Linked DNA regions of Mus musculus. The protein of the gene in region 2 purifies or fractionates together with the protein of the main gene of each other region. This does not show direct contact. Links are inferred from orthologs where the notes say so. Each region holds a gene or a part of one and is shown on either strand. Other genes may lie near its edges. The genes, in order: Ptcd3, Esr2 and Copb2.

The links.
Region 1: the proteins of Esr2 (region 2) and Ptcd3 purify together in Homo sapiens (affinity purification with mass spectrometry; 3 studies listed by BioGRID and IntAct, with this or other methods). This does not show direct contact. The link is inferred for Mus musculus from reciprocal best matches to the Homo sapiens genes ESR2 and PTCD3.
Region 3: the proteins of Esr2 (region 2) and Copb2 purify together in Homo sapiens (affinity purification with mass spectrometry; 3 studies listed by BioGRID and IntAct, with this or other methods). This does not show direct contact. The link is inferred for Mus musculus from reciprocal best matches to the Homo sapiens genes ESR2 and COPB2.

What each region holds. Positions count from the first base shown.
Region 1 is NC_000072.6:71,884,622-71,888,274, forward strand, and holds part of Ptcd3 (pentatricopeptide repeat domain-containing protein 3, mitochondrial isoform 1 precursor), read right to left. Parts: intron 956-3,653; coding exon 877-955; intron 779-876; coding exon 688-778; intron 5-687; coding exon 1-4. UniProt on the Homo sapiens protein: Mitochondrial RNA-binding protein that has a role in mitochondrial translation.
Region 2 is NC_000078.6:76,163,647-76,167,299, reverse strand, and holds part of Esr2 (estrogen receptor beta), read left to right. Parts: coding exon 1-43; intron 44-1,678; coding exon 1,679-1,851; intron 1,852-3,653.
Region 3 is NC_000075.6:98,580,722-98,584,374, forward strand, and holds part of Copb2 (coatomer subunit beta'), read left to right. Parts: intron 1-413; coding exon 414-557; intron 558-1,550; coding exon 1,551-1,681; intron 1,682-1,968; coding exon 1,969-2,176; intron 2,177-3,653. UniProt on the Homo sapiens protein: The coatomer is a cytosolic protein complex that binds to dilysine motifs and reversibly associates with Golgi non-clathrin-coated vesicles, which further mediate biosynthetic protein transport from the ER, via the Golgi up to the trans Golgi network.

The DNA.
Region 1 (3,653 bases), on a different chromosome or scaffold from region 2:
CTATCTTAAAGCAAGAGAAAAGGACAGTGATATCCCAAATGCAAAACACCTGGTGAGCTTTTATCCATTACTGACTTTTATCCTCCAGTAGGATTAAAATTAGAATTATTTATTAGAATTAAAGAAAACCTTAATTCCACTACTCTGGGAGGCTGAGGCTGGTCTACAAAATGAGTACCAGGATAATCAGAGCTATTCAGTGAGACCTGTTGCCAAATGCCAATCAGAAATGTTTGTAGTCAATGTATAACACAGCCTGTGTAAGAGATTTGGGTAAGACACAGAGCTGGACTTTGGTACTAATTTCTCTGGCACTGATATCAGAAAGATCTTATTTTCCTGTACTTAACTTAACCACTATAACTTGAGCAATGGCCTTCAAGTTTGACCTTAACAAAAGTGTTAACCTCTGTTAAGAATGGAGGCTTTTGGAGGCTGGAGAGGTGGCTCGGCGGTTAAGAACACTGACTGTTTTTATGAAGGTCCTGAGTTGAAATCCCAGCAACCACATGGTGGCTTACAACCATCTATAATGACATCTGACATCCTCTACTGGTGTGCCTCAAGACAGCTATAGTGTACTTACATATAAATAATAAATAAATCTTTTAAAAAAAAAAGAATGGAGGCTTTCAGTCTTAAAATGTACATGTTAATCATCAGTCACTGCACAAAACTGCCACCAACCTTTCCAAATCTGAGGAACCAATTCTAGTCTATTGGCCACATCCAATGCTTGAAGAAGACCTATGAATATTTGGTAGTGGGGAAGGAACACCTGGTGGAGAAATACAAACATGATTTTATAACATCCATCAGAAAAGGCATTCTCACAAATTCATCTACAAAGACAAAGATGAGTATGAAGTCCCTTACTGAAGGTATTAGGTCCTTATACCACTTCAAGGTGACATCAATTTGTTCCAGTGAACAAATCAAACTGAAAAACTTCGAACTGTGGAGAGAAAAAGTGTGTTTAGATTAAAGTCTGTGTGTAACAATAAGATATGATTAGTGAAATTCCAGTAGAATTATTACTGTATTAAATCATACATTTTTAAAGTTTACAACTTTAGGTCAGTGAGATGGGTAAAGGTACTTGTAATAAAGGCAGGAGAGGACTCACTCCACAAAGTTGTCCTTTGGCACCCCCCACCCCCAATGCTGTACATGTGCACACAAAATAAAAAAATATGTAATTTCAAGTCAGAACGGTCAATGATTGACCAAATGAGTGGTAACTACTACATTTCCCAGCTGAGATCTTGGATCCTCAGCTGGACACTTTGGGCTCCCTGCTTACTACTTATTCTCAGTCACCTCAAATAACATTTGTATTCAAAGTACTCAGTGGGGAAACAAGGACCTGGACACACAAAAACAACCCTCACACATAAAGGCATGAAGTGTAACACAATAAAATCTCTATGTACATATAAGAGTCTAGTCTTAATATTACTGCTACTTTTCAATTTGTCTGCGTATATGTACACAGGTGTGCCTGCCTATAGATGCTCGTAGGAGTGGGAGTTGTGTTTCAGATGTCGTCTTCAACTGCCTCTCCAAAACCTCACTGAACCTGAAGCTCCACTGTTGTGTTCACCTCCAACAATGTGTTCAGAGGTCCAAGGCGGGGCTGGGGGTTGGCGACAATGCAAGGCAAGCACATGCTTACACACCTGCTGGACGAAACAAGCGCCAGCAACTTTCTTTACACATACATAAATATTACACGCATATATTAATACACATTCACACACTGGGTAGATGGAGTCAGGCGCCAACCTCTTTACATACATACATACATAGGTATACACACATATCTATGTGTGGCTGGAGTAAGCTTCAACAAGTAAGCTTGATCAAACTTCATAAATGTACACATATACACACACACATATACATATTTGGATAGACAACTCCAATGAGCTGACTCCAATAACTTTTTTTTTCTTAGTCTTTTTATACCACCTAAGACTAAAGTTCTGTAAGGAAAAACCTCAGAGTCACAAGTTAACATTATCTCTAAAAAACAATCACCACAAAAACATTCCTCAAAACAGAATTAAAGCCGGGCAGTGGTGGCGCACGCCTTTTATCCCAGCACTTGGGAGGCAGAGGCAGGTTCCAAGCCAGCTTGGTCTACAGAGCGAGTTCCAGGACAGCCAGAGCTACACAAGAGAAACCCTGTCTTGAAAAACAAACAAACAATTAAAATCACTACACAAAAGGAAATTACAATAGGAGTATATATTATTCTTTTGAAATTCATACTTAACTAATATTCCCCATTTTTCTTTCTTTCCACAAGTTCACCATAAACCCCAAAGCAATAATTCTTTTGTTACTAAAATTTAAGCAATCCAGTTTGTAGTAAGTTCTTTCCTATGCTGATAACAATTTATACTTAGCAAGAGAGATAACCTATCTTTTGTTCAGATAAACTAACTAATCATCATTATTTATCCTTATATTCATAACAGAATTACTTACTCTTTATCCATAACCCTGTTTTTTCATAGTGCACACTGAAACCTATGGCCACATCCCTAGATCACAAGATCCTAGAACTCAGACCCAACCTACAATGTTTTCTTTGATAATGACCTTGTCCCAAGCCTATTTTTCTTTTCCAAGTACAATTATATGTTTGTAATGCAAGAAAACTCACTGTATTTGTTTTCTAACAGATGTAGCCCCCAGTATTTTACAAAGGAGGGCACACATTCCACTCATAGTTCTAACTTTATTACACCTTCTGGCAAAACAACTTAATCCATCTCCTTAAACTTTCTATCAATTACCCTAAACTTCCTAAGACTATTTAAATCAAATCAGGAAGTCTGTAAAATTATTAGTTCATTTAAACAATATTATTTTTGGAAATTTCATTTTCATATTGATCTGCAGGAAAGTTGCCTGACAGAGTGGGCTGTCTCTCAAGAGGCAGTCACACCTTGCTAGATGTATGAGGAATATAGCAATGACAAGCATGAGAAGGCATGGCAGCAGCAAGAAGTAATCTGTAGATGAAGGCTGAGGTACAGCCATTGCAGCTGTGTAAGATGGTGGGCTATCTCTAGGAAGCTCACTTGCCCACTGTAGGTCCCTCTGCATGTCATCCGCCATTAAGCCTTGCTCCATCTACCCAATGTATGTATGTATAAAGTTGTTGGAGCTTGCTTCACCCACCATGTATGTGTGTACATGTATATATTTATGTGTGAAGTTGATGGAGCTTGCTTTAACCACTAAATGTGTGAGCATGTGCATGCTTTACATTATCACCAGCCCCCACACCCCCCTCCTCGGATTGCTGAACATTGTTGGAGCTGGTCTTCAACAGATTTGCCTATATCTACTTCCTGCTTCATCGTGGGTTTACAGAACACATACCACCAGTGGGGCCTGGGAACCCAAACCTAAAAATGTATGCTCCCACTTGGAGCCATTTCCTCAGCCCCACTGCTTTTATCAAGTGTTCAATTACAAGTACAAATAATGGGCCCATCACCTAAAACTAGAGCTAAGATATACAGTCTTTAAGATCCTCCCACTGCTGAATCTAGCAATTAAACTGAAAGGAGGGGGTTAGAAAGATGGCTCAAGAGTTAAGAATCCTTGGTCCAAAATCATGAGGGCTAGAGTTTGGT
Region 2 (3,653 bases):
GGTGTGAAGCAAGATCACTAGAACACACCTTGCCTGTAAACAGGTAAAGCCCTGTAAACCATGGGTGGTGGCTTGATCCTTTCTTTACAGGTTAGCATGAAGAAAGACATGTTAGAAAAGGTCTTTACTCTGTCACCTGCATTCTTAGGATACTGGAGACATGTTGCTCTGTCCTGCTCTGACATTCTAGTTCTTAAAATGTTGCGCTTATGGATGGACACTATGGAGAGAGTTCACCATAATGAATAATCGTCTCTTTATGCAGCAAACATCAAACTTGTATCCGTTTGGTTTAGGTGAAGGTGTTGGGTTTTAAGTGGTTTGTTTTCTTTTGTTTGGTTTGTTTGGTTTGGTTTGCTTTTCACAGTCAGATTAGAGTCTTAGTGTAAAATGACAGGTTACTTACTGTTGATGACAAATTGTCTCCAGGATGAACGTAGCCATGGTAACACTACAACTTCCACGAAGTAGCCATGCAAAGCCAGGAAAGCTAACGGGCACAGGCTTTAGTGATGAGCTGAGGTGGTGCTTTGTCAGGGGCAATGAGACACCAACTGTAGGATTCTGTTGAAAAGATCTGAAGTTAACACAAGTTGAACTCTGAATGCATGGCCACGTGATGTATTGCTTCTGTCTAATTTGTAAGGTTTTCGACTCTACCGATGGCTGTTGAGAGAGAGGAGAACATATGAATGCGTGACTGGAAGAAACGGAGGGCTGGAAGAGAGAACCACGTTAGGGCACACTGACTCTTAAATGCATTACTTGTAGGGTGTGATGGTGCATACCTTTGATCCCAGCACTCACAAGCCAGGTCTAGCCTAGTCGACATAGTGAGTTCCAGGACAGCCAGGGTTACATAGAAAGACCCTGTTTCAAAAGACAAGGCAAAACAAAAAAAAATTTGTAACAATATTTATATAAAAATAATTTACAATAATAATATTATTATTATTATAACAATATTTCAAATATTGTTATAAATCTTAGAGGAGACAGGAGCTGGAGGGCCCATCTCAGTACTAGAGGCATGTTTAACATCCTCAAGGCTCTGGGTCTAACCTGCTGTACCCCCAAACCCAGAACCTCTGGCAAACCAAACCAAACCAAACCAAACCAAACCAAGCCAAACCAAAACAACCTTTAAGAAAATACACAATAATTTATTTTTTCTCCTTAATATTTTTATTTATTGGTAAGCTAAAGAAACAAATATAAAAACTGTAGGTTGTGGCTGAAGACAAGTGCTTTTAACATATCTCTCTTTAAAGGGTGAAGTTTGTTTTTATCGTTTCTGAACTAGCAATAGCTCTACTATCTCCCTCCCCAAAAGAAACATGTCCTGGCAAATCAGCCCATGGGCAGAGTGTGCAGCTGCCCCTGCTGCTCCTCTGCTGGACAATTCCTTCTTAGAGCTACGGATCCCAGCCCAGCCCTGAGCTGCCCTCTTCGTAGCCTCTGAGGGCTTGGACTCACCACGTAGGCTCTTAAATGTCAGTCTCCACTGCGATGGAGCTCCCTGTGATCTGATATCAGGTTTCCTGGAACATATTTATCCCTAGCTCTGGAAGGCAAAGAGATTAAATTTGACCAAGTTCATGCTATTTTTTTTTTCTGCCAAGCCCTTCCCCTCTCTTGTTGTGTCCTTTGACAATGGCTGTGTTCTCTGCTCCCCCAGAGAGACCCTGAAGAGGAAGCTTGGCGGGAGCGGTTGTGCCAGCCCTGTTACTAGTCCAAGCGCCAAGAGGGATGCTCACTTCTGCGCCGTCTGCAGTGATTATGCATCTGGGTATCATTACGGTGTCTGGTCCTGTGAAGGATGTAAGGCCTTTTTTAAAAGAAGCATTCAAGGTACAAGACTATGATAAATCATTCCTCTAGTATTTACACTTTGGCTTGCAAGCAATTTTGCAGAGATGATCTGATATAAATGTCACCCTTGGGCTGGCTTACACTTTGTGAACGTGAGCAGCTTAGATGAGTGTGTGTTTGGGAGTGGGTTGAGTGGGGGTGTATGGATGTCTGGATTGCTTGTTTCTACTCCAGAACCCTAAGATTATAGGGGCCAGAAAAGATATCTGTTTACAACCTTGTAAAGATAGTGCTAGGAAAAAAAAATCTGTGCTCATCAAAGAATGTCTATCTGTTCATTTTTTCCTAGGTTTAATATAGGGTATGCTTATGTCATGACGGTGGGCTGGCGTTTAACTTTAATGTTGGTTTGTTTATGAGACAAGGTTCCACGTAACCCAGGCTGACCTTGAATCCATTATTTAGTCATCAAAGATCCTGAACATAGGATCCTCCACCTCCACAGTGATCATAGGCATCCACCACTAAGCCCAGTTTGTTCGGCGCTGGACATGGAACCCAGGGCTGCTTCCTGCATGTGAGGCAGGCTCTCTACCAACTGCGCTATGCCCCTAAGCCACACTGTACTTCCTGACATTTACCATTCTTCATTTTCATGGTTTTCAACTTTCCTTGCCAACTTGGTCGGTAAAGCTGCCTGCCTGCGTCTTAGTGCAGTGGGGCTGTGTGGTGCAGGCTGCCTACATCTTAGTGCAGTGGGGCTGTGTGGTGCCAGCTGCCTGCGTCTTAGTGCAGTGGGGCTGTGTGGTGCCAGCTGCCTGCGTCTTAGTGCAGTGGGGCTGTGTGGTGCCAGCTGCCTGTGTCTTAGTGCAGTGGGGCTGTGTGGTGCCAGCTGCCTGTGTCTTAGTGCAGTGGGGCTGTGTGGTGCCAGCTGCCTGCGTCTTAGTGCAGTGGGGCTGTGTGGTGCCAGCTGCCTGCGTCTTAGTGCAGTGGGGCTGTGTGGTGCCAGCTGCCTGCGTCTTAGTGCAGTGGGGCTGTGTGGTGCCAGCTGCCTGCGTCTTAGTGCAGTGGGGCTGTGTGGTGCCAGCTGCCTGCGTCTTAGTGCAGTGGGGCTGTGTGGTGCCAGCTGCCTACATCTTAGTGCAGAGGGGCTGTGTGGTGCCAGCTGCCTGCGTCTTAGTGCAGCGGGGCTGTGTGGTGCCAGCTGCCTACATCTTAGTGCAGCGGGGCTGTGTGGTGCCAACTGCCTACATCTTAGTGCAGTGGGGCTGTGTGGTGCCAGGTTTCCCATCAAGACCAGACTCGCTGACCTCTCCACAGAGTGAGGCACCACCAGACCAAACCCTGTAGTTTCTCTCCTGGGCTGTGGGGCACAGAGAAGGGATCAAGGACAGGGGTTCCTTACCACTTCTGGTCTAGCTTAGGGCTTGGCTTATTTTTAAAAGCTTATTCTTTTAATTCTGTTTCCTTTTGAAATTCTTTCAACGAGTATTAGTGGAACTGTGTATTAGGTTGTGCGACACAGGAAGACAATGCAGTGTATTCTATTTTGTTCATTACTGGTACAAAACCAGTTTCTTGAATGATAATTTGTAAAAAGCATTGGGCTCACACGATGCGTAGAGATATATTCTGTATGTGTGTGTGAACCTATGTGCATGTACACATGTGAGTGTGTGTATTTGCATACATGTATGACTGTGTGTACATGCCCCTTTGGAAGCTAGAGGTCATCATTTGGTATCTTTCTCAATTTCTCTTCACCTTATTTTTAGAGTCAGAGTTTGTTATTGGACCAGTTGCCACCCAGGCAGCTCTGAGGGTCCTCTTGCACCCACTGC
Region 3 (3,653 bases), on a different chromosome or scaffold from region 2:
TGCCATTAGAAAGCATCTCACCTTGTTATGGTCCTGAGTCTGTCTAGAGAGACTGGGGCCATGGCCCACCAAAGGTGCTCCCTTGTGGTATTATTGTTTTTTCTTTATGTATAAGTGCACATATGTGTGTGGAGAAAAGAAATAAGGAGTAAGAAACACTGTTTTAGAGAACAGAGAGCAGCCCACCTCACCTGAATGATAGAACCCTGTTTCCCATTGGTGTTCCACAACAGTGCTGTGCTGTCCACCTTCCCAAGTGCATATAGAAGTATGGTGCATCAATGCTAAGTGCACAATGACTACCTTGCTGTAAGACTGATCCTGTAGTGAACAAAGTGAATACATTTTGAGGTGGCTGCTCAGAAAGGTGGTCAGTCATCTGTCTGTCTGTCTGTCTGTCTGTCGGGTTGCAGATCTTCTGGTCTGACTCTGGAGAGCTGGTCTGTATCGCCACCGAGGAGTCATTTTTTATTCTTAAATATCTGTCAGAAAAAGTCTTGGCTGCACAGGAAACACATGAGGGAGTTACTGAAGATGGCATTGAAGACGCCTTTGAGGTGAGTGTCTGAGTCCAGCTTAGGGCATTGAAGACGCCTTTGAGGTGAGGTCTGAGTCCAGCCTAGGCTTTGTTTTTAGTATTTTATATTCTTTAAACAGACTAAATTGATTCTAATAGTTCTGTGTAAATTATGTTTGGGTAGGGTGACTGTAAGTTCTGATAATATGTAAAATTTTGGCAAAAACAGAATTTGAAAGTATGTGTCTTAGGGTTTCATTGCTGTGAAGAGACACCATGACCAAGGGCACTCTTATAAAGAACATTTATTGGGGCTGGCTTACAGTTTCAGGGGTTCAGTCCATTATCATGATGGGAAGCATGGCATCCTACAGGCAGACATGGTACTTGGACTTGGAGGAGCCAAGAGATCTACATCTTGATCCAGAGGCAGCCAGGAGACACTACTGTGTTTCACACTGGGCAGAGCTTTAACATATATATTACCTCAAAGCACCACCTCCAGTGACACACTTCCTCTAACAAGGCCATACCTAATAATGCCACTCCCCATGGGCCAACACATGAGTTTATGGGGTCCATATCTATTCAAACAACCACTGTATGTTTAAAATAAATATGTGCCCTGACTTTTAGAAAATCTGCAGGCTTGCTTTGCTATCTTCACTAAGGAAATGTGAAGGTGTTTGGTTCTAAGACTGTTGAGCTAGAATGATTCAAATGAGCTCTGAAATGGGAAAATCAAACCATCCACTGTTTAGATGTCCTTAAGGACTTGAAGATACTTAACATTCCAGTTTCATGTGTTGCAGTTTAGATTGATATTTTTTAGTTATGTTTATGTTAATGACTCAACACTGAGATTTCATACTGTAAATATTCATTGAAAACTTTTTTTTAAGACAAAAATTCTTAGGAAGAATGTTCTTGAAATTGGATTTTACTTTGCATTCCTTATCACTCTCATCATATCTAGCTTGTTCAGATTTCTGGTGTTGACTAAGATTGTAATAGTCTGTTTTCTTTTTTATAGGTTCTTGGTGAAATTCAGGAAATTGTGAAAACTGGGCTGTGGGTAGGTGACTGCTTCATTTACACAAGTTCTGTGAACAGATTAAACTATTACGTGGGAGGAGAGATAGTCACCATCGCCCACCTGGACAGGTACTGAGTGTCATTTTGCTTTTGTCTAAAGCAGCCTAAATTTGAAAGTGCTTTATGAACCAAATGTCATGCTGACTTGTGTAACAGTGATGGGTTAATTTCCCCCCATTAGTTTTAGTAGATTTTCTGATGGTAACCAAAATCACATCCATTAAATGTGTAAGAATTTGAGCAAGAAGGGTGTGTGTGTGTGTGTGTGTGTGTGTGTGTGTGTGTGTGTTTGTGTGTTTGTGTGGTGGTGTAACTGTAGATTTGGGCTTCTGAGTTGGTTTCTCTTTCTCTTACAGGACAATGTATCTTCTGGGCTATATTCCAAAAGACAATAGACTTTATCTGGGGGATAAGGAATTGAATATTGTTAGCTACTCCCTGTTGGTTTCAGTCCTGGAATACCAGACTGCTGTCATGCGGAGGGATTTTAGCATGGCGGATAAAGTCCTCCCTACCATCCCCAAAGAACAGAGGACCAGAGTTGCACACTTTTTGGAAAAACAGGTGAGAAGTTTTGCCTGCCTACTTTCCTTCCCTCCCCTCTCTTTCTTTTTAAAAGTAGCATTTGACAGAATGTTGATACAGGTTGTAGAATGTCATCTCTTATGTCTTACCACTGACCATATCAGGTTGGCAGCACACACACAGCACATCTGGCTTGAACTCTTGCTTCTTTAGGCGTAGGAACCTCAGTGCCTCTGTCAGTGTTGGAGCTGATTTTATCACTTTTCTTACATCCCCTTTAAGGTTCTTGGCATTTTTATTTCTAGCACACCTTTAATTCCAGTACTGGGGAGTCAGAGGTAGTTCCAGAGTTCCAGGCCAGCCAGGGCTACAAAGTGTGTCTCTAAAACAAAAAACAAACAAAAAAACAAACCCTAAGCTGGACTTAGTTTTCCTATTATTATCTTGTTTTAACTTAAACATGTGGTAAAGCTCCCTTAATAAAACTTATTACCAATGTGCCAACTCCAGTTATATATTCACAGCATATAAAGTAGGTTCTACAATGTAAACCAGATGTCCTTTCCTGACCCCTTCCTATTTCCCAGAAGTATTTTCTGTTTTCATGCCTGAGGATGTAGCAATGCACTGACTCTTCATTTTCAGCTTTAGGCATTTCATGTGAAGTGAAGCCTATAAAATGGGAGTCTTGTGTGTGGACATCACAGGAAGGGTACAACTTTTACAGAGGGCTTAAGTTTGGTTCCAATGAACTACTTACCTGCTTACAATTGCCTGAAACTGCAGTTCCAAGGGAATTCAGTTTCCTCTTCTGGCTTCTGTAGGCATCAGGCACATATATACATGTATGGCAAACATTCATACACAAAAATCTTAAAGCAAAAGTTCTCTTTAAAATCTGTTTATTCATATTTCCTCTCCTTTTGTAGTATATCCTTAGGAGTTTATGCCCCCCAAACACAAAAACTACCTTTAGTGTCATCTTAGTGTAGATCGGAAATACAGCAAAAGCAAGGACATGTCGCCCTCTTCCTCTGTCCTGCTCTACCCCTACCTGACCAGTTCCAAATATCTGCTGTTCACTCTGGGGTTTTCTGCTGTCAGTGCTAGTGAAGAAAATCAGTAACTTATTTAGAACCAGTGTTTACATTGCACCATGGGTAGATGGGGGAAGCAGAATGGCACATTTCCAGCAACATGACGACATAGTTAGATGAACTCTGAATGTTGTCCGGCTTCTCTGTCCTGACCACTCTACACTAAGCATTTTCCTTCAGTGTGCTGAGAAGTAAGCCACCAGAGTTTCCCTCTGGCTGCCACATTCCCAGAGTTGGAAAACTTGCCCATCAATGTTTTTTTCTCACAGAAGTTAACTTTGTAACTACAGTAGTAGATTTAAAAGCCTGTCCTATGGCTTTATGCCCTAATAGAGCACAAGGGAGGGATATTGATAGGCTGAATCCAAGACCAGAGTAAAGCCTAACTGATGACAGCCCCTCAGTGCCTGAACCGGAGT